4 linked regions of the Schizosaccharomyces pombe genome follow. The protein of the gene in region 1 purifies or fractionates together with the protein of each later gene. This does not show direct contact. Each region holds a gene or a part of one and is shown in the gene's direction. Other genes may lie near its edges. The genes, in order: nrl1, cwf10, gpl1 and spf38.

Region 1 (5,569 bases):
ATCAGCGCGTTAGAGCTGACTATATCAATTCTGTCTACTTTTCTCAAAATTAATAATCTAATCATCCTCCGTTGCTCATCAGGTCTTACAATGTTATGAAAAAAGTAATTTGCTTGCATAAATACTTAGTCCTACAATTCCCCAACGTTCTGCCTTTATTTATTTATTTGGTTATCATGTGGATTCATAACCTAAAAGTTTTGATGCAAAAAATATTCTTGCTGCTTCTAAAATTATTTATTATTTATTTATTGAATCAGATCTCTTCTTGTTAAAAAAGAAAGGAATTGACTTGATTGTATAAAAGGTTTGGGTTATGGAAAGCTCTTATTTTTATCATCTATTAATATATTGTTTTTATCTTAATTACGAAGCGTTATGTCAAATATGGGTAATTAAACTTGAAATTAAAGATTGTTGTATTAGTATCAGCCATACCAAGTATTACTGTTAGTAGATGTTTCAACGGGTGCTCGAGTAGGAATAATGCTTTCTTTGATATTGTATTCTTTAATTATGTTCTGTCATTCGAGAGGTTAGAAAAATTTTTAAACATGAATACACCCACCTCGTACAAATCCATTGTCATATCCAGTACCAATTGAATGTTTCTTATTTCGCCTGCCACGACTTGATCGTCCGTTGGAGGAATGCGTGTTTCTTACAAGTTAATAATAGTTCAAATTCTAAATATAATTGATTTACCAAGCATGAGAATCCCGCTTTCGTTTTCTACGAGGGCAGCTTTGCCTTCTTTGAATAAAAAGCTGACATAAAACAAGTTCTCCACTGTTTGAGGATAACTTTGAGGATTGGTGATGAATTTCAAAAAATTAACAGGCTGGTGTGCTTGAAGTAAACGAGATATGTGCAAGACATTTTTAGTGGTGTTATTTTCTTGGGTAGTAATGTTACGTTCATTCAGCTTCTTGAGTTAGAAAATATAAAAAAAATAAAAATTACCATAGTAGGTTGAGTTAGCACATTCGGGGCTTTTTGTAGTCTTTCTCGCCGCTGGATGTTTCTTTCTTTCTTGCGAAATGATAAAGGACCGACCCTAAAGAGGTTAGATACGCTATTGGAGAAACTATTTTACATACATCAAGTTCAGAGAAGCGGGCTGTTTTTCGCAATTACTTGCCAATTTCCCTAGTCTTGACCATGCTGTGTCAATTTCTTGGATTCGAGTAACATTCGAGTGGGAAGTAGGATAGTTGAGGAATTGCTTAATATTTTTTGTGAATAGTTCAATATTAAACTTGGGCCTTCCAATATGAAGCTGCCTAGCTTTAATGGAAGCCAGATCAACCGTTTTAGTAAGCAGTAAAGCATCTAAGGTTGCTTCAGTAGGAGCATCAACTATTAATTATGTTAACAACTGACAAAGATACACTGATATTCACCTGAAGAAAATAAATCATTAGCAGTAGTAATAGTTTCATATAAGTTATTGTTTTCCTCATCAACCAGTTCCAAACGACTTTCTGCTAAAATGTTAGTAAATTATAAAGTAAAGCTGTACATGACCTTGAACTTTGTTTATTAAGTTCCTATATCGTTTTCTAAGATCCCGTTTATCAATGGAGGACATATCGTGGGTTTTTTGTGATAGTTTTTATTCAAATATAAGCTAGATGACGAAATTAGATTTTGAAGTACAAAATTTGCCCAGTTTCCTCATGAAGGATTTGATCGCGAGCAAATCTTTCAACCTTTAAGCACAACTCTCCAAGATTGGCTTTTAGATTAATAATTTTTAAAATTAAAAAAGTAAAACGTTGAAGAAGAATGTTGCCATTAAGTGTTAGCTTAATCGTTAGTTGATGCTAATAACCAAGTGTTGCTGCTAACGCCAGCAAATATTTTGTCAACGAGCATATGCAAATTATACTGGTATATACGGCAGAAACTATTTAGTATATTTGGATCATTTCAAAGAATATTAGTTATGGGAGCCTTTGTACTTTTTTTCTATTAATTCATAAACACCTATAATGCCGTCTAATCATAACACGTCTGTTCCAAAATTTTCGAGTTTTAACTCAGTCAAGGCAAAAAAAAATCCAATTACAAAGAGCAATAAAAAATATCGATCATCTCATGATCAAGTTTCCTCAAATCATGCGAAATCGAGTTTCCCTTCGCATCGATCAATTCAAAGTAATTTCGCTGTAGACACGAAAGGAGAAAAGCAAAATTTACTTTACGGGATTAATAAGAGGCCCGTTCCTAAATATCATAGATCTTCAAGTTCCGTATATGGATCTGCTCCTCTGCTACGAATAGTCAAAGAGTCAAAGGAGGGCATAACCCTGAATAAGAAAAAATCGTTGGAAATCAAATATGATGAAGAAAGAAGCTTTGATGAAAAAGAAAACGATGAAAGTGAATTTGAAGATGGGCAGCAGGGATTTATTCCATTGTTGGTTAATAGAAACTCGGATCCATCCGAGAAGTCAACGTTTTCTTTAAATATTCTGAAGGCTATTAAGGAAACAGATGAAGAAATAAAAAAAAACCCAGGAAAAGCAAGGTTATGGATAAAAATGTGTGAGTATCAAGAAAGACTTTTGTTTGATGAATTTCGACGGAGCAATTCCGACGACATTAAAGGTAAACTGAAGATTGAAAACAATAGTAGAAGCGTAAAACTATCAATTCTGGAAAAGGCACTTAAAGAAGTTAAAGGATGTGATCATGAAATATTGGTTTCATATTATCTCCAATTGGGCTCAGAAGAATGGAGTAAAGAAGAAACTAATCAGAAATTCGAAGAAGTATTGATTGAGCATCCAGGTTATCTTAATTTGTGGATGAAATATGCCGAATATTTTACTGGAATATCAGAATTTACTTTCAATGATTGTCTAAACATGTTTTCTAAGTGCTTCAAATTTTTAAAGCAAAAATTATCCGATAGAAAATCGTGTAAGGAAAGAGAATCGACAGACGTAACTTCCAATTTTGAAGTAGAGGAGGCCATATTACATTTGCTTATCCGACTATGCGATTTTCTGAAGAATTGCGGATACTATGAGCTTGCTTGGTCCATTTTTCAAGCTAACATGGAGTTATGTTATTTTTATCCGCGGTATTTGGAAAAAAAACTTGACAGTACTTTTTTTGAAAGCTTTTCTAAATTTTGGAATTCAGATACTCCGAAGTTTTCTGAAGAAAATGCTAGGGGATGGTGTAACGTCCTTGATGATGAGTCCAGCCAGCAAAATCAAAATTTCAGTTCAGAAATTGGAATATTTCAAACAGTTAAGTTATGGTATCTTAACGAAAGCAAATTTGATACTAATCCTCCTCCACGTAGTACCATGAGTTGTCGAAAACTTTCAGGAATAGATGATCCATTTAGGTATATTGTCTTCAATGACATACAAGACTTTATAGTTTGTTTTGAAAGCGAAACGATTGCTTTCGCATTCAAGTATAAATTTTTTGCATTTTGCGGAGTACCTCTTTTTCCACCGGGGATTTCAACAAACTCATGGTTTGCTTCTTATGACAAAGGAATTTACAACTTGCTTTTTGGCATGGCTTCCAGTGAATCCTTTATAAATGGACAGATAGCTGAGAAAAACAGCTTTCAATTTCCCTGTAGTATACTACCTTCATACATTGATCTCTTCATTTCTCTTATGTCGTTTAAAAATTTAAATTTCAAGTTATTTGATTACAACCTTGCACATCATGTGAAGGAATCAATGGAGCGTGCTTTTCATCAACTAGTATTTTCGGCGGACGATGAGTATTTAGCGAGCGTTTATTTAATTTATTTAAAGCAAATGGAGACGAAGAACCTAAGTGAGGAGAAACCCCAAGTGAAGTAAGTAGATGTTTTTGTTTCCTTCTAACCAAATTCAGTAAAATTGTAAAGAAGATTCTCAAAAAATACGATAGTTCAGTGTCTGTTTGGAACACTTACGCTCAATTGGAACACTTAAGTGGTGCTTTTACTATGGCTGAAACAATTTTTAAAACAATTTTTCAGATCCATGCTTCCCAATTGCGCTACATTGATAATTTAAATGTATACAAAAACTGGGCTTTTAGAAAGCTACTTATTAATGATACTGAAGGATGCTTAGTTATTATAAAATGCCTGTTGTTTCCTGGTGATAAATCTTTAACTAGCGATAATAATCGAGCATCCGAAATGCTATTTGGTATGTTGGAAAATTGCGCCAGCAAGGAAGAATTGCTGTATGTTTGTCTTATCTATACTATATGGACACACTGTACTGATATGGATTCAATGGATAATTGTGTGTATTTATGCATTCAAAAATTCGAAAGCTATGGATGGGGGGCTTCTTCAGAAATGGAATGCTATTTTTCTTATTGTTCATTGATTTTTTATTATCAAGCTACCACTCTTCAATTCTATAATCTACCCAAGGTTCGACCTTTTTTTGAAAAGGGAGTTACACTTTTCAGTGCAAATACGGCTATATGGGAAGTTTATATATTTTTTGAATCTAAGTTGAGACAAGAGAACAAACCAAAAATTAGGGCTATGAAAATTTTAAAATCTGCTTCAAATGCTGTTGTTACAGCTTGTTGGTACCTTTTTTATGTTGCCGTTCAACAGATTGAGCCAACAAACTCACAGTACTTTTTAAGGACTTTGGATATCACTCTAAATAATGAAAAGTTGAAATCCGTCGCCAAGTTTTGGAGAATATATTTAAAGATTCTCAATTTGCGATTAAATGGTACTGAATGGGTTTCGGCGATTACCACCAAAGCATTGGCTTCCTGCCCCTGTAATAAAGGTAAGTTAATTAAAAACATAGAACATTTCACTGACTAAGTTTAGGGGTTTGTATGGACGTTATAGACTTGCTCTTGAAAAAAGAGATGGAGAGTCGGGCTATTATTTGCTATATAATCATGTTGGAAAAAGGCTTTAGAGTCCATAACGAAATAAGGAGAGATGTTTTAAAGTTTGAAAGAGGAGATGAACTTATTTTGTCCCCAAACTGACATTATTACGATCAATGACTTTTAATGATAGAGATAGTGAAATGAGTTTAAAATGACAGATTAGTTACTTTCAAGTTTGCGTAAATGCTTTAGTAGTCTTATTATTAAAGTTTTCACTTTTGTTTGTTAAATGCTTATATGGTTGCTTTTACGTTGAAAGGGTACCTCTAAGCAACCATCATGGCAGTACCTACTCAATTACTACACAACCTATTGCTTATTACAAAAATCTACAACACAACATGTCTAGCGTTCCCATAAGAACGAATTTTTCACTGAAAGGTTCTTCCAAACTTGTTAGCGAATTTTTTGGTTTGTAAATGTTTCAAATATGCCATGCTAACTTAATGAAGAATATGCGGTGAACTCAATCCTTTTTCAACGAGGAATTTACCCAGCAGAAGACTTCAAAGTTGTTCGGAAATATGGATTAAATATGCTTGTCAGTGTAGATGAAGAGGTCAAGACTTACATTCGAAAAATTGTATCTCAGTTACACAGTGAGTTGTTGTTCTATTATCACTTTTGGAATTAACAAATTTTTAGAATGGATGTTTGCAAAAAAAATTCAAAA
Region 2 (9,264 bases), 760 kb from region 1:
TGACAACTTGATAAATTGATAGATCCAACTAAATATTATTACCTTTTTCTTTGTTTACTTTTATTTTTCCAGCTCATTTCCAGCTCATAATTAATTTCTACATAAGGACATCGCTAGTTAGAAGTTTAATAAGGAGTCTTACAATGTCTATACGACGGTGAATTAGTTCCTGTGTAGTCTCTGTTCTGGTGAAACTGTAAGTGTAGCGAAAGGCAACTGCTCTGGGCTCAAGGTCCCAAAAGTATAGTTGTACTAATGTCAAAGAACTTCCCACAGTTTGAGCTACAGAATTTCACGTAGCAGAAAAATGTATAATAAAAATCCTAATGAAAAAATTTCAAAGAAAATAAAGAAAGGAAAATTAAATAATCTCTCCATCTTTTTTTGAACAAAGCTAGCGTTAACTTGTTGTCTAAATAATTTTTTGCATTTTTTGTTTACATGTTTATTCAAACAGCTGTTTGCTCTTCTTTCCTTCTCACTACAAACGCATACCCTTCATTTTACAAACCCTCCATACTCGTCTTGCCGTACAATATCTCTTTCTGTTTTAATAACGCGCCGGAGTGGGATCGAGATCTTGACTACCGAAGGTCCGGCATTCAACATGCTTTTGTCATCCCAAAAGTGGGGAATGCTACTTAAAGTTATTTAAACACCCCACAACCTTTGTATTCACAAACCAAAGGGATCACCTCAGCTGTGAACGACAGGTACGCTTCTTCAATACAGCAATATTAGTCAGCAAGTTATATTGTATCTGTGTCATCTTTCGGGCTATAAATACAAATACGATAGATCATTGTGGGTATTTGTGAAAACAGTTACTTTGATTTTTAAATAAATTGATCAATTGTTTATCATAGACAGGTAAATTGGACGTTAACAGTGTTTTGATTAAAAATCTCATACAAAAAAGAAAGATGCCGTCTAAAGAAATTGACATTAATCAAAAGAAAAACGTCTTACCTAAACCGGAGGATATTCAACTCATTATCTGTGATGTTGATGGTACTTTGCTGGGACCGGATCATAAGCCACATCCGCGAAACCTTCGTGCTTTAAAGTATCTTCGTGAAAATTATCCTCAGCTACCTTTTGTGTTAGCTACTGGTAGACAGCGAACATCCGTAGGTAATATCAGAGAAGCGTTAGGTTTACATGTCTTTCCTTGTGTTCACCTTAACGGCTGCGTAGTTTACGATAAAGGTGAAATCGTTGCTTGCGCAGCTCTTAAAAACTCTTTAGCCATCGATATTATTGATAAGCTCAAAGACATCCAAACGTGTGCACTTTTCGGTTACGATGAAGATTACGTTTACCAAATTAAACAGGAATCGGATAAAAAACAACATGGTATTAAGTTTTTGCGACTCTGTGGGGAAACAGTAAAGGACGACGCCAATGAAATGCTCCCTCAGCTTAAGGGCCCGAAAGACATCTTCAATAAAATGGTAGTTTTTGATGATGATACTAACGGCCTTGAAGAAGCCAAAAAGCGACTGGCTGGCATTCCTTCGGATGAAGTTGCTCTTACCCAAGCGCTTCCCCAGACTTTTGAAATAATTCCTCCCAATGATAACAAAGGGGTTGCGCTCAAGAATATTCTTTCAAAGATTTATCCATCCATTAGCTTGGAAAACGTCCTAGCTTTTGGTGACGGAGCAAATGATGTTTGCATGTTTGAATTGGCAGGCTATTCCGTAGCCATTCGTAGTGGAATGCCTGTCGCCTTAAAGGCAGCCAAGGCAATTTCCGACGTTTCAAGTGCTGAAGGTGCCGTTGGTGAAGTGTTGGAACGAATTTATAATATCCCTCCTGATTTTAATTAAATTTAACAACCTATATAGTATCTTTTTCCTGTTTAAATTATAACAAAAAAAATTCAATATCTAATTCCCATACAATAATAAATATCAAAATAACGAAAATTACAATACATATTATATATAAGCATTCGTAAACTTCTTTATTTACGTAGCCGCGGGTATAACTATTTTTCTGTGAATGCCGTGTATTTTTACTTTAGCATGTTAAAAACTGCTTTCTCTTAAACAGTGCCTTGTAGACCTTACGAGGAATATGAAAAATCAATACAAAAAGATGCTTTTAATTTAATCATGAGATCATTTTATAACATTATCAACATATGGAAATTCCAAACATCGTGGCATTAGTAAGTTTCCATAGAAAGAAAAAGAGAAATCTAAGAAGACTTTTTCTTCTCCTCTTCTTGACGCTTAGCATCTTCGCTTTTACCCTCCTCATCCAATTTGGCAAACACCTCAGAAGATAATTGGATTCCAGCGGCCTTGACGTTTTCTTCGAGATGATCTACTTTGCTAGTACCAGGAATAGGTAGCATAACCGGACTGCGTTGTAAAACCCAACTCAAAGCTATTTGACTAGTGGAACGATCAAGGTCTTTTGAAACAGCGTCCAGGATGGTTCCGGGTTTGGCTAATGCTCCTGAAGCTAAGGGATACCAAGGAATAAACGCAATTCCCTTCTGTTCACAATATTCTAACACTTTCTCATTCTTACGATTGACAAGGTTGAATAAGTTCTGAACACTAACTACCGGAAAATACTGTTCAGCTTCTTTGATATCGTCTACTGTAACCTCACTCAATCCAACATGGCGAATCAATCCTTCTTTCTTCATAGCTGCAATTTCAGAAAATTGGTCTTTGCGAGGAACCTTGGGATCGATGCGATGTAGTTGCCAGAGGTCAATTTGCTTAACTCCAAGTCGACGCATGCTCATAAGTACTTCTTGACGTAAAAATTTGGGTGCTCCACAAGGATGCCATTCATTTGGACCTGTACGAACAAGGCCACCCTTGGTAGCAATTATAAGTCCTTTGTAAGGGTATAAAGCTTCTCGTAAAAGATTCTCGCTGACCTCAGGGCCGTAAGAATCGGCGGTATCAATAAAGTTAATATTGAGTTCAGGCAAACGTTTTAAAGTTGCGATGCAAGCCTCTTTGTCTTTGGGTTCATCCCATATACCATCACCGGTAACTCTCATTGCTCCGAATCCCATTCTATTGACAACCATGTCGCCAACCTTGACAGTCCCAGCTTGTGAAGCATCTACGGCGGAAGAAGCTGCAGTTTTACTCATTTTTGTGTCTTTTGTCGCTTTTCTTAGAAATCAAGATCAAGTACTATAGTGGATCCGGTAAGTGTGGGATGTCAGACGCCGTTTCCTTTTATAGTAATTTTACATGGTGTATTCCTTACATAAGCTGGATTGATGCGGACTATCTTAAACCACGAAAACTGATTTATTACATACCCTATTTACAGAATCCAGTGGTATGATGTAAGAGCGCGTTAGACAATATATTGTCATAACGATGACTAATACTATTATAGTACGATATTGCTGGTTGGATTTTGAATTAGAGTAAATAGCTAAGTCCTTTTTGATTTGGCTCTTATTCAATTTAATGATAATTTTATGGTTCCAAAATCTGATGCTGGATGAATTGTCTAAACTGTATCTCTGTCTTCTTTTGCCAGCCCATTTTTATTCATGAGCAACGATGGTCGCACATAACGATAATGATCTTTATTGCTATGTTTCTTTCTATTCAAGATAATGTGGATTTATATTTTCCATCTTCTTGAATTATGCTTGATCGTGCTATCAAATCGTACTACGAGTTATCATTTGGAGACCACAAATGGGTTGACCAGTTCCGTAAATCGAGGTAAACATTGCACATAATAACAATTCTAGGACTGTATTTGAAAGGAAACACATTTTTTGAATTTAGTTGATGATGCCAGTATATTATTAGTGTTATTGACATTCAGCAATTTGTTGTGTGTTTTATAAACACACTAAATACTTTGTACAGTTGCAAAACTTGCGCTCTAAAAATGTTTGCACCGCACTTTTACAATGGCTATTTACTCTTACTATTGTCTTCGAAAAGCTTATAAATTTGGCTGCTAAACATGGGTCGGTAGCTCAAATCGTAGACATAACCAGTCTTTTAAGGTCTCAATTACACCCATGTACGACTTTTAAGGAGGAAGTTGGTAAATAAAAAAGTATATTTGGTTTTCAATAATTACGATTCATTCCTTTCTATCAAAATGAGACGATGTCGTTCTTCGGCAACCTTAAAGAGTGTAGTGGAAGTTACTGAGCCGATCATATCTCGTTTAGAGAGTATAAAGACAATGATTTCTCTAGCTCATTATCAAAGCTTAACGAGATATAAATCGCAGTTGAGACATGAATGCGCTAAAGCTCGAAAACTTGGTTACACTTTACTTCAAATTTGGTAATTACCAAAAGTTGTGCATTGTGGGTACTTGGCAGTAACTGATGATGGAAGAGGATTTATATGATGAGTAAGTGGTCTAAAAACATTTTATAGTTATTTCTAACTCGCCAGGTTTGGAAATTACATAGGCCCTGAAAATGAAGAAGATGAAGAGGAGCTGTTTCCTCAGGCTCCTAGCCCTACAATTGCACAGGTACCATCCTTTGAAGAGGTCATTCCTGATGAAGAATTAGAAGACGTTGAAAGGGCCGAGGAAATGGCGTTGAGTCATCTAGAGCCTCAGAATGCCGTTGTTCTTCACGAGGATAAACAATATTATCCTAGCGCTGAAGAGGTATATGGGTCCAACGTGGATATCATGGTTCAGGAACAGGATACTCAACCCTTAAGCCAGCCCATTATTGAGCCAATTCGTCACAAAAGGATTGCTATAGAAACAACAAACGTCCCAGATACTGTATACAAGAAAGAGTAAGTATGTGTAACAATGTCTTTTCTAACTTTTTAAGGTTCCTCTTCGGTCTCTTAACTGGGACAGATGACGTTAGATCTTTTATTGTTGCTGGCCATCTGCATCACGGCAAAAGCGCTTTATTAGATTTACTCGTTTATTATACCCATCCTGACACCAAGCCGCCAAAAAGGCGTTCACTTCGATATACCGACACTCATTATCTTGAAAGAGAACGTGTGATGTCTATAAAAAGTACTCCACTTACGCTCGCAGTTTCTGATATGAAGGGTAAGACGTTTGCATTTCAGTGCATCGATACGCCTGGTCATGTCGATTTTGTTGATGAAGTCGCTGCTCCTATGGCCATAAGTGATGGTGTTGTATTAGTCGTTGATGTTATTGAAGGTGTAAGTTATTCTGGCCTTTTCTTGCGTTTTGAAGATATAAAGATTCTAACATGCTTTAGGTGATGATTAACACCACTAGAATTATCAAACATGCGATTCTTCACGATATGCCAATTGTGCTCGTCTTGAACAAAGTTGATAGGTTAATCCTTGAGCTACGTCTCCCTCCGAATGATGCTTACCATAAACTTCGACACGTTATCGACGAAGTAAACGATAACATTTGCCAGATTAGTAAAGATTTGAAATATCGCGTTTCTCCTGAGTTAGGGAACGTTTGTTTTGCTTCATGTGATCTTGGATATTGTTTTACATTGTCTAGTTTCGCAAAACTCTATATAGATAGACATGGAGGTATCGACGTGGACTTATTTTCTAAAAGATTGTGGGGGGATATTTATTTCGATTCGAAAACCAGAAAATTTGCCAAACAGTCCTTGGATGGCTCTGGCGTTAGAAGCTTTGTCCATTTCATATTAGAACCGTTGTATAAATTACATACCCTTACTATTTCTGACGAAGCCGAAAAACTCAAAAAACACTTATCTTCTTTCCAAATTTATTTAAAACCCAAGGATTATTTATTAGATCCTAAACCACTCTTGCAACTAATTTGCGCATCGTTTTTTGGATTCCCCGTTGGTTTTGTGAATGCAGTTACTAGACATATTCCATCGCCTCGAGAAAATGCCGCTCGTAAAGCCTCTCAATCATATATTGGGCCTATAAACTCTAGTATCGGCAAGGCTATCTTAGAAATGAGTCGTGAGGAATCAGCACCATTAGTCATGCATGTTACTAAACTTTACAACACCGTCGATGCTAATAATTTTTATGCATTTGCTCGTGTATATAGTGGTCAGGTTAAAAAGGGTCAGAAAGTTAAAGTTCTTGGAGAAAATTATTCTTTAGAAGACGAAGAGGATATGGTGGTTGCTCATATTGCTGAAATATGTGTACCTTGCGCACGATATCGTCTTCACGTTGATGGAGCTGTTGCCGGCATGCTAGTTCTTTTAGGAGGTGTTGATAACTCTATTAGCAAAACAGCAACCATCGTTTCGGACAATTTGAAAGATGATCCTTACATTTTCAGGCCAATTGCTCACATGTCCGAGAGTGTTTTCAAGGTGGCTGTAGAGCCACACAATCCATCAGAATTACCAAAACTACTTGATGGCCTACGAAAAACAAACAAAAGCTACCCACTATCTATCACAAAAGTAGAAGAATCTGGGGAACATACTATTTTCGGTACTGGTGAGATGTATATGGATTGTCTACTTTATGATCTTCGGACTTTATACTCTGAAATCGAAATCAGAGTTTCCGATCCAGTTGCTCGTTTCTGTGAGACTGCGGTGGACACATCAAGTATCAAGTGTTTTTCAGATACTCCAAATAAAAAAAATCGTATCACAATGGTAGTTGAGCCATTGGAGAAAGGAATTTCTAATGACATTGAAAATGGAAAAGTTAATATCAATTGGCCTCAAAAAAGAATCAGCGAATTTTTCCAAAAGAACTACGATTGGGACTTACTAGCTTCACGTTCCATCTGGGCTTTTGGTCCCGATGATCGTGGTACGAATATATTGCGGGATGATACTCTTAGTACAGATGTTGATAAAAACGTGCTTAATAGCGTAAAAGAATACATTAAACAAGGTTTTCAATGGGGGACTAGGGAAGGTCCTCTATGTGATGAGACAATCCGAAACGTGAATTTTCGCCTGATGGATGTAGTGCTTGCACCTGAACAAATTTATCGAGGAGGTGGTCAAATTATTCCAACCGCAAGGAGAGTGTGTTATTCTTCTTTTTTAACAGCGTCTCCACGGCTAATGGAACCAGTGTATATGGTTGAAGTACATGCCCCCGCTGACAGTCTTCCTATTATTTATGATTTATTAACGCGTCGTCGTGGTCATGTCCTCCAAGATATCCCTCGGCCAGGTTCCCCATTATATTTGGTGAGAGCACTTATTCCAGTCATTGATTCTTGTGGATTTGAAACAGATTTACGAGTGCATACTCAGGGTCAAGCTATGTGTCAAATGGTATTTGATCATTGGCAGGTAGTACCTGGTGATCCACTGGATAAGTCTATCAAGCCCAAGCCATTAGAACCCGCACGTGGCTCTGATTTGGCGAGAGACTTTCTGATTAAGACAAGACGTAGAAAAGGTCTGGTGGAAGATGTTTCTACAACTCGCTATTTCGATCAAGAAATGATTGATTCTTTGAAAGAAGCAGGTGTCGTACTCTCTTTGTAATGTCGGTTTTAAGTCTTTATAATGGATTTTGCAAAAAAAAATAAATTGGGTAGATTTTAATAATAAAGTATACGATTATTTATGAAAGTTCGAGAAGTCTAACAACTTTTTTTTGCTTTCAAATCTCGCGTTTACAGTGTATGAAATCCGAAAAATCAGCGCATATCTTGAAGCCGTAAATTATTTGTGAAATCCTTGATCAGAAGGAAAAGTCGCATTTTGGTTTTACGATTTTAGTATATAGATAAATAACTTCTATTATTTATTTTTTTATGTTAAGAAACTAACACTCAACTGAAATAACGTAATTTCATAGTACTATAAACACCCGAGGTCATATGTCATGAAGTTACCCTCTCAGTATACCGGAAGACTTTAGGGACATATACAACTTCCGGAAGTGCTCTGCTTTTGGAAGTAAAATACAGCGAGTTTAGTTAGATTAGTTTATTATTATCCTTAAAACTGAAGATGGGTTTGAGACTTTTGTTTTCTCTCATTTGCGTATTTTGCATATCGAACATTTTTACGCAAGCCTTCTTGGTGCATCAAATATATGGTAATTCCAGCTTCACAAAAATATCTTTAAATCAACTTGAGGGCAGAGATTCTCAAGAGGAACTACAAAGGCGTCAGGAAATCCGATATTATGGTCGTGCCGCTGAAACTGGAGGAACTCCTACTTACTACGGGTATGCGACACCCACTAGCTCTAGTGAACCCAGTATCTTTTCTGAATCTGCTACTCCCTCAGAAACTAATTCTTACTCGTCTCCGGTCAGCTCTTATTCTGATCCCGCAACTAGTCAGCTTCCCTCGTCGACTTCTTTCTTTTCACCTACTTCTTCTGAATATACGCCTTCTAGTACGGAATCCAGTTCTCTTCTGGACCCAAGTTCTGTATCATCAGCTATTTTACCAAGCAGTACTAGTGTTGAAGTAAGTATTTCTTCATCAAGTTTGTCATCTTCTGATCCTTTGACTTCTTCAACTTTTTCCTCCTTGAGTTCAAGCACTTCTTCAAGTCAGCCATCTGTGAGCTCCACCTCTTCTTCAACCTTTAGTAGCGCAGCTCCTACTTCCACTAGCTCCTCCTATTTGTCTAGCTCAAGTGTTGTTTCTTCATCGAGCTCTCCTTCATCCTCCTCTAGTTCGACACTTACTTCCTCTTCATTAAGTACTTCTTCTATTCCTTCTACTTCTTCTTCATCATCTTCTACTTCCTCGTCCTTGTCTTCTTCCTCTTCCTCTTCTACTGCTTCATCTTCGTCTTCTTCTTCTTCCATTATTTCTTCGTCCTCCTCCTCTTCTTCTTCTCCCACATCTACCTCTTCTACTATTTCTTCTTCCTCCTCTTCCTCTTCTTCTCCCACTTCAACCTCTTCTACAATTTCATCGTCGTCGTCGTCCTCTTCTTCTTTCTCTTCCACCCTTTCTTCGTCTTCTATGTCTTCGTCGTCGTCGTTCTCTTCTTCTCCTACTTCTTCCTCTTCAACTATTTCATCATCATCATCTTCTCCTTCCTCTTCTTCTTTCTCTTCTACTACTTCTTCCTCAAAGTCATCTTCTTCTTTCTCTTCTACTGTTTCTTCTTCTTCGAGCACTTCGTCTTCTACGTTAACAAGTTCTTCTTCTTCAAGCTCTCGTCCCGCGAGCTCTTCATCTCATTCCTCGTCTTTGTCAAGTCATAAATCATCCTCGTCTTCTAAATCCTCTTCTGCTCCAGTATCTTCAGCTTTTTATCACAACAGCACCTCTAGCAGAAGCTCTAGTCATTCATCTAGCCATTCATTATCGAGCTTGAGCTCAAAACCAATTCTGAC
Region 3 (7,526 bases), on another chromosome or scaffold:
TTCTTCAAGATTATTTTTAGTTTAATAAACCATCTAATCAAAATACTTACGAGTTGTTTTACCACATCCTGTGTGGCCTAACACTATAGTAATCTGATTTTGCTCTACTGCATATAACAACTGGTTTCCTAAATGTAACGTCAGCAATGTAAGGGTAAAACAGCTACATACTGTATTTGGTGATTGGTAATAGCTTTTTCTGAATATTTAAGGGTGTATTTGTAAGAGTACTAAGCGATTGGGAAATAAACTCATTAGGCATACTCTTGCGTAGAGAGCATCAAGTAAGTGGAAGCACTTTCATGTTACCACAACTAGATTGAACGTATTGTAATATTTATAAAAAACAGTATTAACAAAATTCAAATAAAAAATTATTATTCAAAATAAATATACTACAATAATTATCACGCAATTTGAGTAAAATCTGGGAAACCTCGTAACATTGGTATCTGTTAAAAGAATGGCTGCATGCACGGCCTAACTTAGCAAAATGTTTTTTAATCTTATTTTTACTAAAACACTTAGTCTTGAGAATTTTCACGATTTCCCATAATCGTAACTTCCAACAACCACTGCTTTCTCCTCCAAACATTGATTAAAGATCCGTTTACTTTTATAACTTCGTTTATCCACCAGCACTTATTACCTGGCTGTCCCCATAGCTTCAAAATTTTACTCAAAAATTCTTCGCTTAATGAGGAGCTCTCGACTGTTGTTATGATATACGACATTAAGCTCATTAATTTTGGCTCCTTTACTCTCTTGGCCCATTTATCGTTGTAGCGAAATCCACAATGCTGTAATGCATCAACTAGCGGTCCATCACTCAGCCCTTTTCGGATTTTTTTTTTGTCTGCACTTTCAAAAACGTCGTTGTTCTTGAAAGTTTGCTCTAATAAGTCGCTCCTGATTTTTTGGTCGACGGGCTTTTTATTTTCAGAAAATAAATAGATATTGCAACATTCTGTTAAGAATAAAACGAGGGTAGTATTCGATATAGGATTAAATGCAATTTTTGAGGGATAAGCATTATTACTTTTTTTAAATAATGGTAGATAGGTGTCCAAAATCCATTTACAAATGGAAGGGTCGATTTTGTGGCATTTGAAACATGATGAGACATCACCTCCCTCATGTTTTAAAAGCAGATGAAACCCATTAGGAAATAGAAGTGCCAACACGGTAGTTGGTAATATTGGAAGTTCAACGCGATCAATGACTATTAGTTTGCCCCGGATGTTGAAATGTATTTTTTCTGGAAAAAACTTTAAATTACTTTCCAGTGTATTGGCTAAAGTGTCAACCGTATTGATTCGATCAATTGGAACTGACATTTTTGTGTTCTATTTTTGTAACGATTATGTTATAAAAGAATGTTCATTTTTTATTTACAAGATATCACCAATGCATACTTGGCTTTTGGTAAAAATGTTAGGTGCAAATTTCTAAAGGATCGCCAATAGCGGAAGCTATCGGAAAGGTCTTACAAAATCTTTTACGCGCAATAGTAAAAACAGGTAGAAAAAGCCATTCGTCGGTTAAGAGAGCTCTTTGGGCATTCTTTGTTACGTGTAAAACTTTTTATTGTATTTTTTTCCATTTCAATACCCAACTGGTATATCCAAAATTCAGTCCACTAAAGTATGTCGGATTCTAATAAAAATGCACTACCATCATAGATCAACAAAATATATATTTAATAGTGACAGAGGTAATATAAATATAAAGATAAATAAGTACACTTATATATGTAACAGTTACTCAAAGCATTACTTTTCTTTCTGCGAATGATTGATAAGCGACAGTCGATTAAACAAAGTTAGGGCAATTCATAAACCGGTTTTATTATATTATATATAAAATTTTTACAAAAATGCTAGCACGAATATATCCCAACCGATCCTATGCATATTCGTACGTCAAGCCTTGGAGAATTTGGTGAATAAACAACCCGAAAGATTCTCCCCGAATTATTGGTGGCAGAGTCGGTTTTCTTAATTAATGCTAATCTCGTACTGATGTTATTAGTCCAAACGAGACCAAGAGATGGTATTTTGGGATTTGGATCTGTGTCATCCCATCCCGAAAACCATTGCGATTGATAATCTAAACTAAACAACCCAATAGCATCATAATCTCTAGGAATTCTATCGCTAACTTGGTTAGCTATGACAACAGCAGCTTCATGTTGATGAGCTAAAGTGCGTAGAGTCATAGCTAACTTTCCCAATTGATTTCCACGTTTGGCAATATTATCTAAATCTCTAAAATGACTTTTGGATCGGTTGTAACGGAGCTCAGCTCTGTAGTTGGAGGCGACACTATCCAATATAACCAACCCAATTTTATCCCGATTGAATAAAATCGGCAGTTGATACTGAATGATATGTTCTTGAGATTCCAGATCTGGGCATAATATAGTATACACCCTATCTCCTGGATTTTTTATAATTATGTCTTTCTTATCAGCTTTGGGATACCTTTCTGGTAAATAACGCGCCAGTTCAAATAATCGTTTTGTTTCAAGACCGGACTCTGTAGAAATGAAGACAGCTGCTTTGTTCATTCCTCCTAAACTGAGAGGTAGTTGAACCATTAAACAAAGCTGCATACAAAACTGTGACTTCCCTGAACCGCTTTCACCACATATTTCAGTTAACTGTCCTACTGGTATACCTCCATGTAGAGTTTCATCCAACTTTACATCGCCAGTTGTCAAATATTTCGAAGTGACTTTGGAAGCAGAACATCTTACTGGTTGAAGAAGGAGGGATATCTGCTCAATTAACTGTAATAACTCACTTTGACTACAATGTGTGCGTCTTTCTAGCTCAGTAATATCCAGCGTTAACAAATCAACCGTGCTTACTTCTCCTAAAGCTGTCAGTAATTCCGTCTTTTAAGATCCCGGTACAAAAACCCAATATTTTTTTTTTATGTGCAAGCTTATTGAACTACTAAACGCTTACCTAATTCAAATGCTGAAGCAATTTTCTCATCAAAGTAGAAATTGTCAACATAATTCGAAATATCCATCCATATAGTAGAAAGAAAGAAGATTTTTAATTGTAAATATGATATGTATAGTTTTTACTCATAAAGATAAATGAAAATTATATCCACACCATAGAATATTCGAAAGTTGATAGTTTTATATAATGAACAGCTTTGTATCCTACGATTGAATTAAATTCTCACGATTATTTAGAAGTAATAGCACGAACTTCTAACCCACTTTTTCGCAGAAAGAAACGGTAATTTATGTACCACTATAGAAGTGGTGAGTCGAAGATGTTGTACGCGAATTACAACTGACCTGCCAATACCTCTATGTTTAGTAATTATAATCCTTATGAGAAGAAGCCCCGCAATCGACGAATATTTATATGAACATTGGTTTTTATAGAACATTAGCATAGTAACCGCTTACACTTATTTTTTTAACATCTTCAAACCATACATCTATGAAAAACCCCACGTAATGATACACATACTTGCCTAACCACCATTCCTTAATTGATAATTAAGTTATCAAGATATGTGAAATTATATAAGCAGCATATCCAAATGTGTATTGCTCATTAATTGTTAGGCATTAAAATTCGTAGTATGGTTGAGCAAACGAAGTATAAGAAATGATGTTTTACCAATCAACCGACGATAATTCGCTCAGTTTACCAGCTACCAACAAATTTCTTAGTTTATGAATGCTTGGTTCAACATGAAGTAATACTAAATAGAACTTTGTTGAGATTTCTCAATAACAGACAAAATATACATGATACATTTTTCATCTCATGAAACTTCAACTGTACAAAGAATTAGGTAATAGATAAATAACGTACCCTAACGCTCGCAGATTGCACTACGGAGGCAGCTGAAATTCGAAGCAAGGGCAACTGTTTAAAAATTGAGTATTGTAATTGCTTTTGTCAACAAATCAGAATTCTTTGATAAGTTATCTGGCTTTATTAAAAATTAAAAGTTGCTCAACATAGTATTCTTGTCGCCTCAAAAATAATGGGCTTATAGTATCCTAAAATATGCCTTAAATTTTGAATTTTGAATTTTTTTTTTTTCAGTTTAACTACGGATCACGATTACTTCTTGTTTTAAAATGTATGCCAATTCAAGAAAAAGAAGCAATGTCGATGTTCATCGGCACCCTTATGTAGTTTATGGCTCCCCTTTTGATCTTGAGCCGTCCAGAATTAATCAAGGAGTTCCTGTTTGGAAACAAGAAGCCAGGGATGAGCGTAATAGAAAGAGATTTCATGGTGCATTTACTGGTGGATTTTCTGCTGGCTATTTTAATACGGTTGGTTCAAAAGAGGGTTGGCAACCTAAATCTTGGAAAAGTTCAAGGAATGAAAACAAAAGTGTGCATGGAATGACTATTGACGATATTATGGACGAGGAAGATCGTGCTGACCAAGAGCTTAGTAAAGTTTATACTTCGAAAATAAATACGATTGATACATCTATACCAATTGATGATCCTCTACTTAGAGAATTCTCAAATAGGGACGATAGCATTGGCGAAAAAATGTTAAAAAATCTTGGATGGAACGGTCATGATTTTGTTATATCTCCATTTCAAGGGTATTATGATGACACTAAGTTAACCAACCAAGCTTATCACGGTATCGGGTATCAAGCGGACGATGTTTTTCAGCTGGAAAGAAAACCAGTTGGAATGGCAAAAAATCTGCGCGGTGGATTTGGATCAGGTGTTTTAAATGATGATGGGATAGAAGATCAAGATATATACGACCTCGGTGCTCCAAAAATGCGGTATGATAAATCTATCAACATTACAAAAAAAGTCGCTTCTCCATTTACACCCGTTAAGCATACCTTTCTGTCAAAAAAAGACAGAAGCAAAGGGAAAAGCATAATCAAATCGCAAAATTGCTCAGATGGTCTACCTCCCCTTCCAGGATTTGTAGTGGTATTTAATTTACAATCACCTTTTCAAAATAATTGGTTTCCTCCTCCTACAATACCTGAGGGTTGGGAGCCAAAACTTTTTACAAATTCTCAAGGATTTTCACAAAAAAAAGCCCAAACTTCAAATGAGCGCTTACCACTTTTTGCTGAGAAAAGTGAAACAAATTCCAACGGTGAAGCAAGTTTACCTAGTGATGTTAATCATGGTGTCAAGGAAGATGAGGGATCTTGGCAACTAATTGACATTGAGACAGCTAAAAATGCAATGTCTAGGAAAGATAATCCCTATAACGATGAGCGTGCCGGAATTTACGAGATTTTCCTTAAGGCGCACCTAATGAATATGCCACGATTACTCAGAGATATTGATTCTCGTCATTTACTAGAATTTACTCAAACAGCTTCACTATACCGACCTATGTCAAAAAATCTATCGATGCGTTTCGTAAGTTCTTTTGAAGCCTCGACTAAAAAAGAGTCGATTAATTCACATAGTGAAACTGATGATTCAATTTTGAGAAGACCTCGTACAGTTGTTACATTCATTCCCGAACGTCTTCTTTGTAAACGCTTTAATGTCGCCTTACCGTACGGTCAAGAAAAACAAAAGCGTAAAAATATTTCTTCTATTGAAAATGTACCTATTATTGCTGAAATTGAAAACAAAAGTATCGATTCAATTGATACAAGGAAGTTGAATCGACCCCAGGATATAGAAGAAAAACCAAAAGCTCCCCAAACTCTTTTCAGTGCAATATTTGGGGATGACTGAATAAAAAAATTATTAATTGATTTCTATTGTACTTTATTTTCATTAGGTTAATAGACTGTAATAAACTTTTTGTTTTAAGCAAAAACTTAGTACTTCCTATTTATTCAAGTGCCATGACACAATGTTTAATAATTTCATAAAAAAAAATAATAATTATCAAGATAGCTATTATACACATCAATTCTTTACTTCACTTTGTTTGCTTAATGTCGCGTAGATTAAACTCACAGTTACTTTTGCTACTTAAAAATTTTTAAACGTTAATGAAACGTGACCCTTTTCAAAATTTTTCATCAAGATAATTATCATCATAGTAATAATGGATGATTTTCTAAAGAAAGACTTAGGATGTCTTCGTTCTGGCGATTTGAAAAAATGTGGTGAATTAATTTGCGAAATCTGTCGAGATCTGTATACGTCGGGCTGGGTTACAGGAACTGGGTAATTACTAATTTGAATTTAATATAACTAATAAAAGAATCAGAGGAGGAATTACCATTCGCTCTGGGTACAAAGCATTATTAAAGCGTCAAATATTAACTTTCATGTAGAGATGCCATTGTAATCGCTCCCTCGGGTGTACAAAAGGAAAGGATGGAGTTACACCATCTTTTTGTCATGTCTTTAATGTATGATATTATTATTGTCATTGTTTTTATCATTTTGAGTAGATGCTAACCTCTTGCAGTACTCGAGAATATATGCGAATGCCAGCTCTTCGATTGAAACCTTCTCAGTGTACACCTTTGTTTTTAGCAGTATACACGTAAGTCAGCAAAGTTGTTGAACATTGAATTCTTTACTAAAGCAGTAGCTTGCGTGACGCATATGCATGTATCCATACCCATTCTCAGGAAGCCATTTTATTGTCTACTCTATTTGCGGATTCTGATCATTTTTCGGCAACAGGTTTTGAAGTACTATCGTATATTCCAAAAGGATCTAAAAATAATGGGTTTCATAAGCCAACAGATAAGATAAAAATTCCATGTATGAGTTTACAAACTTTTATAAAAGGCTGCTAACCGAATAGTTATCAATAATACTGCTCATGAGTCTGATCTTCATGATAGTTTGCAAGAAGCGATCAATTTGTACCCAGATACTTGTGCTGTAATTGTTAGAGATCACGGTATTTACTGCTGGGGCGATACGTGGCAAGATACCAAAATGAATACTGAAGCGGTAGAATTTTTATTCCAAGCTTATTTACGGAGAAGAAGGCTTCAAAAACCAGAATAGAAATTTTGTGACAGCTTGAAAGACATTGCGTTCTAAGGTAAAAGTTACTATATAACAAATAAATAAGCTTAAACTCACATAAGTTCCTACTAAAGTTTCGGATTATGATATTTTTTTCTTTAAGGTATTTAATCAGTAATTTCATGTACTTTGAAATAATGCATTCGACGTTTTCTTCATCCGCTTCCGTTTAAATTTCTCTTCATATTTTAAGTATTTGGTGACAGAGGAAGGCGAGCATTGTTGCAAAAGTCTACCCCGTCTATAGATGCTGAGCGTTAATAAAGAATGTGGTACTTTTGCGAACTTAGTCAATTTGTCACCCATATAGGTAGGCTTTGAAAATACATTGCGTCTGGCGTTATAAATACAACTTCTATAATCCGATTTAAATCGCTTAATTTTTGCGTCTTCAGTAGGCACCCGTAGGTTGCTTTCCATATCTTCAAAAACATCATCCACTATGAAAGGAAGATACCGTTTAGAACGAGAATGCGCTTGGTTCGCTAGTGTATTTACAGGTGACAATGATGAGGAATTATTGTTATATGAGTTTAAT
Region 4 (7,253 bases), 1.1 Mb from region 1:
ACTATTCAAAGGCAGAGCGCTACAAGGTTTTCTTCAGCTTTGGTTCAGAGGAGATTATACTCTTTGGCTTCTGATTCTCTCAATAAACAACGGAAACCACAAGAAGAAGGGCGCCTGGCACGAATTTTCAAAGATCCGTCTAACAAAGCTTGGAAGGATTTGACGGCTCCTCAAAAAGCATACAGAACTTCTGCTAATATTGGAAATTTTTCGATTGTGATATTTGGAGGCGGCGTTTTCGGATTGATTATATATGCACTTGTCACTAGTATCTGGAAGGGCGAGGCACATTACGGTGATGAAGCTTTTGAACTTTTAAAGGCTAATGAAGAATGTCGATATGTTTTTGGAGATCACATGAAAGCCCTAGGTGAAGCCACGCATCCTCTTCGTCGAACTCATGGTATATTGACTAGTCGTGTGTGGGATCACCATGGTGTAGAACATCTAGTACTACAATTTCACTTAATCGGTAATGAGAGAAAAGGGCACGTATTTGGAAGACTTGTAAATGTTCAAGGTGACTATAAATGGGAATATCTTTTCGTTGATGTTGCAAATTACGGAAAAATCATAATTTTTGATCATACCAATTCTGTACGACAACAACATAAGAATTTTGGTTTATGGGGAAGCTTAAAAAATATTACATGGGGAAATTAGAATTTCCGAATGATAAACGCACGACGGAAAGGTATAGCTGTTAATTTCAACCGAAAAGGAAATCATTGAATTATTTCTCGATTTTAATGGTTTGATTAATGGTTTTTCGCAGAGAATTAATTTTCTAATTTACGAATTAATTTACAGGCGATGTTAATGATTTTTATCAGAATTAGCACACTTAGTTATGCAGTATTTGGATGTATATTGCAAAAAATAAAAAAATCGTCGACACTTTATTACTAATTAAGCGATCGAACCTCATGATTTGTTGTTTAATTAGTTAGTATAAAGAAGCGAATTTGTACGAGGGGCCTTTTCGCAGGGGCTGATTAATCGCCAATCTAATGTACTACCTAAATGTGTTTAGTTATAAAAAATATAAGAATGATTCAAAGCACATGAAATAATTTTGATTATTAGATATAAAGTACAAGATGTAGGCCGGTATTTATAACCGAGTACACTAATCCATATCCAACTAGCAATTAATTATATATTAAATTTTTATAATGACAAAACGCAACGCATTCAAAAAAGATGAAAAAATCTGGTATATAATTTCCAAATAAACAAATTAAAAAAGAAGAAAAACAAGGATAAAATACTTAAGTTTCGACAAAATTAAGCAGCAGTCGAGTCTTCATTATCCGGCAAATTAAACAATCCAAACCATAAATCGTCACCAGTACTAGTATCTTTTAAAAATTTGTCGAAGTCAAAATCATTTAGAAGAGCCGCATCGATGTCTGTTGAATTTCCAACATCCAATAATTGATTGTCTGAAGATTTAGTGGCAACTGTGGTAGACTCCGTAGGTGCAGAAGGAGTCGCGGAAGTATCAGGATTTGATTTTCCTGACTGATTTTGATTATCCAACTCAGAATCGGATTTGTGAACATTTGCTCCTTGCGATGGTTCCAAAGCAGGACCTACACTTGTTGCTTCATTTGTTGATGATTCGGGGTTGGTAGTGTTGACGGTCGGTGCTGGAGTTGGAGCATTTGAATTAGCAGAAGAAGGCTTTTGTTTTGATCGAACGTCCAATGGAGAACTGGCATTTGGAGTGGGTCGCGATGAATGAGTTTGTTGTAATTGCCAATTCCCCATAACGTCCATTCCATTGTCCGCATTATTTGTGTCAGAGGTAGATGAGTTTTCAATCAGATTAGAATAGTTTGATGGATGATCACCTGATGTACGTAAAGGAAGACCATTTTGTAACATAGGCATATTTGACTCATTGATGCCATTAAGATTTTCAGTAGTATTACTATTTTTTGTTGAGACCTTTACAGGAGATGTGGTGGCTTCTGTAGGAGTGTCAGTAGATTTAGGAGTAGTGCTTTTGGTTTTTGCAACACTAGATTCAGTAATAGTCTGAGAAAGCGGTCTATCAGGCGATGCCGATGTGTACCCTTTTCTTTCTTTTTCCTGACTAACTAACAGAAGCCTCTTTTTATTCTGTTGTTCTAGTAGCTTTAACTCCTCCATATAATTCTTGAGAGCTGGGTTTAGACGACTGGGGTTTGCGTTTCCGTTAAAATTATATAGCATATTTTGAGAGTAAGGAGAATTAGAGAATCCGTATTGGTTCATTTGATTTCCAGAAAATTGCCCAGTTGAAGGCTGTTGAGCAGGTTTAGGTTTGTCTAAAGATTTCTGTTGTTGAGGAAGGGTAGAAGAAGGTACTGCTCCTCCTTGTTTGAGATGTGGATTTCTGTTTGAAGCAAAATTTATCTCGTGAAGCAATGGTTGAGCAGAGTTTTGAACAACAGGGTATTGTCCTCCGTTAAGACCAGTGGTATCGTACAACGGATTCGACTGGGGAACGGAACCATTAGGAGTTGCCGGTAAACTAGGGCGAAATTGAGCATTAGATGGAGCACCTTCTGTTTTGGGTGAAGAAGGGATGGATCGAAAATCGGAAATTGGACCTTGCTGCTTAGGTGGATGTGTATCGTGAGTTGTAGGTTGAGAAGTCGTGTTTTGCATTTGTGGGGTAGAACCACTTTGTGGAGTTTTCTTTTGCTGGTGCTGCTTTTGTTGTTGTTGCACAGATTGTAGCTGCCTGTAGTGTAATTGTTTTAATTGTTGAAGTTGAGCAGCGGTCGGGGGAAACGTTTCACGGCTTTGATTATTTAGCATAGCTTGCCGCATTAAGTGCTGATTTCTATCGTTCAATCCACCTGCCCCTTGATGAAACTGAGATGAGTCAATCTGCTGACCCATTGCGTTGGCAGGATCATGGGGAAATGAGGCGTTTGCATAAGGGTGAGAAGTATTTCCAGTGTGTAGAGAGTTTTTTTGAATTTCTTGCAAATTTAAACGAGATTTCTTCCTAAGATTGCTAATATGAGACATATACGCCTTTGCCGGCTCAGATCCTTGACCCCGACGAGCATTGTAAATATCCCAAAAAACATTCCACCACTCGATTAAAAAACCACCAGCTGAATCGATAGGCAAAATAGGAGGTGGCGGCGGAGCAGAAGAAGAAGAAAAGGAATCTAAATTACCGTTATTTACATTCATGTTTTCATCCGAAGATTCATTATTACTTATACCTTCATGCTTTACAGCAACAGGAGACATTCTTTTGTGACGCTTAGCTAAGGAATTGGTTTCTTCTTGACTTCTGACGAGCGTTTGTACTTGTGCTTCACGGCCAAAAGCTCGGGCTGCCTCACAATAATCCTTCTTGATTAAATAATCATATATGTACGAATTCAGTAAGGATTGTGTGGTCCTATCGGCATTATTTACGTGCGGTTGTTTTTGATCTTTTTGTAAATCATGTTTCTGTCCTTGCTGGCTTGGCAATCCGACGCCGGACCTTAAACCTGGATCAGCCATAAACTAGAAATGTGCAGAAGTTAGGTGTTGCGAACGAGAATATGGATCTACAACGATGCACGCTGGCGATATATAATTTTAAAGATCTGCGCACGCTATACTACCGCAACATTTTGTATATCATATTTTCATTTTAGTTTTCTATCAATTACTGAAAATCATAAAATCATAAATGTTATGTTTGAATTTAGTTACAGAGTAAATCAAAACCCTTGAAGAGTAAAACTCTATAGAGGTTTCTTATTTTCCAAGGCAAGTCATGCTCTAAAAACATTTTTAATAATAGTTATTATGTATATATTCGGATTTGAATTATCTAAAATGGGCTATATTAAAATATGGTTCTAAGATGATATACTTTCAATGAATCAACCAGTGGTAATTTCAGATTTTATATATGCAAACTTACTAACTGAAAACTGTGGAATTAAGGGATAGGTGGGTTTAGAAAGTAAATGTAAATTGATATTTCTTCATCCGTAAAAACATCATAATGAATTAAGAATACTATTAGCCGCAGTTTTTTGTAAGAATGCTGTAATTATGTAGATAGTATCAATTATTCTTGTTTTATTTACCTTGCCTTGGAAAATATACATATCTACAGCTTTTTACATAAGTTAGCGATGTAAATACTAAGCACTGGAACTCATATTATCATTTTCTAAAGTTGTTAGAAATGCTTTTAGTAGTAAAGATTTTGGAATGTGTTCACTATTCGAAAACTAGTTGCAAATTGTGTTTTTCAGTAAATCAAGCAAGATGCTTAATTTTGGCACTACAAGTTTTTAGAAAGTACTTACATGAAGATTGGAAGCTTTGCGTAAATTTGTTTAGTTTCACATATTCCACATTTTAGTTTTCTATAATTCATTTTTTATCAAGTAGAAAATTTAGTTTCTCTCTTTCATTGCAAATGCTATAATCCGGCTTTAGAACTACTATCTACTGGATAATCCTTTATTATTGCCATGCTAGATTCCCTGTAGAATTATGGATTTTGATATTAATCAAAAATTAATTTCTTAAAGTACAAATATATTCGACGGGAGAAAGTTTATGAAATTTTGTATGCGGTTATACCTAATCAGTGATTATCTCGTTGTTTATATTTCAATTTTTGAGGCGACTAGAATAGACAATTCAGCCCAGAAAACCGTACATACAATTTTTAAGTAGAAAAATTTGTTAATAACTATACCCAAAAAAAATGTGATTACGCATCTTTAGCTAATGGCAAAATGCTTCTCAAGTGTTTTTGATGGTGGTAAAATCGAGATAGACTAGATATTAAAGCCGCTCGTTAAATATTATAAGACATTAATTGATACTAGTGTTTTTCCTCAAGCACAAACAAGGTCTGTATATAGTATACGGAATAGATATTTCTTACAATTTATTTATACTGTTTAAACGAATTTTAAATGGCTTCCATGAGAAGGGTAAATTTTTAGGGATTTTGCCTGTAATCAAAATGTTGTTCATATAAATTCTACTTTAAGTCCTGTTTATAGGAATGAGCTCATCATTCCTCGTTATTTGAACACCAAAGAAAAGTCCGATTTATTGGTATTTTGGTTGTGACAGAAACCCCTGCGACGATTGTCGATCCGTTTTATATATTTTCCACTCCCGTCCCTGCTATTCATTTTACGTTCTAATTCTGAAAACTGTCAATCAGAAATTGCAGTTATTATATATAGTAAACTGGAAATGGATAAACGAAAGGAATCGGAGAGTGCGACTAATGGACATTTAGTATGTTCGATTGCTAAAAAAACATGCACTAATATAAATAGGTTAAAAGAATTAGAATCCAAGATTCTAGCTTAATAACGGAGGGTTCTGTATTGCAACGAACATCTGATCTCAATGTTCCAAACCTACAGATGTTTGGGCATACGGTATGGTTGTATTGAAATAAATCATACTAACGCTTTAGGCTGAAGTTTTAGTCGCCAGGTTCGATCCTTCTGGATCATACTTTGCTTCTGGCGGTATGGATAGACAGATACGTAAGTGCAGCTGTAATTAAAATGTTGATTTATAATAACTGTGGTTTAGTTCTTTGGAATGTGTTTGGTGACGTTAAAAACTACGGAGTATTAAATGGCTGCAAGGGAGCCATAACTGATTTACAGTGGAGCAGGGATTCACGCGTAGTTTACTGTTCTTCCTCCGATACACACCTCATGTCTTGGGACGCTGTCTCTGGTCAAAAAATCCGGAAGCATAAAGGCCACGCTGGCGTGGTGAATGCTTTAGACGTTTTAAAAGTTGGTTCCGAACTTCTGACTTCTGTAAGTGATGATTGTACTATGAAGGTATGGATATTGTTATTAAAATATGGAATAGTTACTAAATTTAAGGTATGGGACTCGCGGTCAAAAGACTGCATAAAAACAATAGAAGAAAAATATCCCTTAACGGCTGTCGCAATAGCGCAGCAAGGAACCCAAGTTTTTATCGGTGGTATTGACGGAGCTATTAAAATCTGGGATTTACGAAACAATCACTGCTCGCATGTTCTGAAAGGGCATAAAGATATCATTACTAGTTTGGCTATATCTAAAGATGGATCTAGCTTACTTTCTAATTCTATGGACAACACGGGTATGCTAATTTTTTTTGGGTGTTTGATCAACCTTTGTACTAATGCTATTTTAATTTATAGTTCGAATATTTGATGTAAAACCTTTTGCTTCTGCTCAACGACAGTTGCAAATTTTTGAAGGAGCTATTCACGGACAGGAGCATAATTTGTTAGGTGTTGCCTGGAGTCGTAATTCACGATTCGTTGGTGCTGGTAGCTCTGATAAAAACGTATATGTTTGGTCAGCCACAGGCGATTTACGTTATGTATTACCCGGACATGAGGGTTCAGTAAATCACGTTGACTTTCATCCACATCAGGACATCATTCTTTCATGTTCCTCAGATCGAACAATATTTCTTGGGGAATTGAATTAATTTTTATTTCATGAATAATTTTTCAATAAACATTAAATACTATTAAAATTTTCTGTAGAACTTATTATTTGACGATCTTAGTTGTCAAGCCTGTTATAATTCCTATAACTACAAGTTTCTTAGATTTCGATTAATTATCAAATTATATGCGTTATGAGTACATCTTTATGGTAATGATACATCATCTAATCTTATTTCTAATTAAACAGGTTAAATAACTTAGAAGAATGGATGAATGAGGACTATATTCGAGCAATTTTTGAAAATGTTAGAAAAGTAAACTATTATGAAGATGGCGAGTCGGGAGCTATTTTAAAAACTTGCTGCATTGAATTTGAGAGTCAAGATGCTGCTAGGAATGCTTTAGAAAGGCAATCTACTCAACGATTAATATCTGGGAACCCGATCTCTTTAGATGTGGTTCCTGAATGGCAAAAACCTAGTTACTATATGCTTTTCATTAGTAACATTGATCCAGAAGTGTCTGAAAATGATATAAAATACTTGTTTCAACGTTATAACTTTATTTCTGCTCGTGTTCTACGTTGTGTTGACGGGACTTCAACTAGCATTGCTTTCATATGGTTAGCTAATGAAAGTGATATACAAAACGCGCAGGTAGAGATGCAGGGTGCCTTTTGTTTAAAAAGATCTATATTAGTTCATTCCGTCAAATCCGATAAAAATACTTACTTAAGTTCGCCTGGGTTTTATGGTACACCTCAACCACTAAATCAATTTACTGATCCAAACAATACAGCAGT

What was found.
Region 2: the proteins of nrl1 (region 1) and cwf10 purify together in Schizosaccharomyces pombe (affinity purification with mass spectrometry; 2 studies listed by BioGRID, with this or other methods). This does not show direct contact.
Region 3: the proteins of nrl1 (region 1) and gpl1 purify together in Schizosaccharomyces pombe (affinity purification with mass spectrometry; 4 studies listed by BioGRID). This does not show direct contact.
Region 4: the proteins of nrl1 (region 1) and spf38 purify together in Schizosaccharomyces pombe (affinity purification with mass spectrometry, with the first as the bait; 2 studies listed by BioGRID). This does not show direct contact.

The regions. Positions count from the first base shown.
Region 1 is NC_003423.3:3,289,038-3,294,606, forward strand, and holds nrl1 (NRDE-2 family protein), read left to right. Parts: upstream 1-1,848; 5' UTR 1,849-1,994; coding exon 1,995-3,835; intron 3,836-3,873; coding exon 3,874-4,784; intron 4,785-4,828; coding exon 4,829-4,995; 3' UTR 4,996-5,069; downstream 5,070-5,569. Other genes in the region: SPOM_SPBC20F10.03 (uncharacterized protein), read left to right, coding at 1-53; nse4 (non-structural maintenance of chromosome element 4), read right to left, coding at 429-521, 569-660, 706-925, 964-1,057, 1,101-1,359, 1,404-1,484, 1,528-1,591; mitotic spindle checkpoint protein Mad2, read left to right, coding at 5,238-5,307, 5,349-5,495, 5,542-5,569.
Region 2 is NC_003423.3:4,048,256-4,057,519, forward strand, and holds cwf10 (GTPase Cwf10), read left to right. Parts: upstream 1-4,300; 5' UTR 4,301-4,345; coding exon 4,346-4,371; exon of another isoform or gene 4,372-4,415; coding exon 4,416-4,775; intron 4,776-4,813; coding exon 4,814-5,165; exon of another isoform or gene 5,166-5,224; coding exon 5,225-7,441; 3' UTR 7,442-7,724; downstream 7,725-9,264. Other genes in the region: odr1 (haloacid dehalogenase-like hydrolase ), read left to right, coding at 924-1,832; SPOM_SPBC215.11C (aldo/keto reductase family protein), read right to left, coding at 2,207-3,127; protein Mtl3, read left to right, coding at 7,913-9,264. UniProt on the Schizosaccharomyces pombe protein: Component of the U5 snRNP complex required for pre-mRNA splicing. Binds GTP.
Region 3 is NC_003424.3:2,118,803-2,126,328, reverse strand, and holds gpl1 (Gpl1-Gih35-Wdr83 complex RNA-binding subunit), read left to right. Parts: upstream 1-3,915; 5' UTR 3,916-4,120; coding exon 4,121-5,725; 3' UTR 5,726-5,899; downstream 5,900-7,526. Other genes in the region: gih35 (ATP-dependent RNA helicase), read right to left, coding at 1-2, 51-128, 172-262; whi2 (phosphatase activator), read right to left, coding at 525-1,337; rad57 (DNA recombination mediator, RecA family ATPase Rad57/Rhp57), read right to left, coding at 1,880-2,877, 2,973-3,039; mde1 (5'-methylthioribulose-1-phosphate dehydratase), read left to right, coding at 6,045-6,166, 6,210-6,233, 6,277-6,354, 6,414-6,491, 6,540-6,715, 6,759-6,967; ATP-dependent 3'-5'-directionality DNA helicase fml2, read right to left, coding at 7,109-7,526.
Region 4 is NC_003423.3:4,399,329-4,406,581, forward strand, and holds spf38 (U5 snRNP complex subunit Spf38), read left to right. Parts: upstream 1-5,101; 5' UTR 5,102-5,232; coding exon 5,233-5,277; exon of another isoform or gene 5,278-5,318; coding exon 5,319-5,423; exon of another isoform or gene 5,424-5,461; coding exon 5,462-5,534; exon of another isoform or gene 5,535-5,583; coding exon 5,584-5,843; intron 5,844-5,888; coding exon 5,889-6,132; intron 6,133-6,193; coding exon 6,194-6,489; 3' UTR 6,490-6,558; downstream 6,559-7,253. Other genes in the region: TIM23 translocase complex subunit Tim21, read left to right, coding at 1-663; adn2 (transcription factor), read right to left, coding at 1,288-3,519; U1 snRNP-associated protein Usp109, read left to right, coding at 6,643-6,659, 6,699-7,253. UniProt on the Schizosaccharomyces pombe protein: Involved in mRNA splicing where it associates with cdc5 and the other cwf proteins as part of the spliceosome.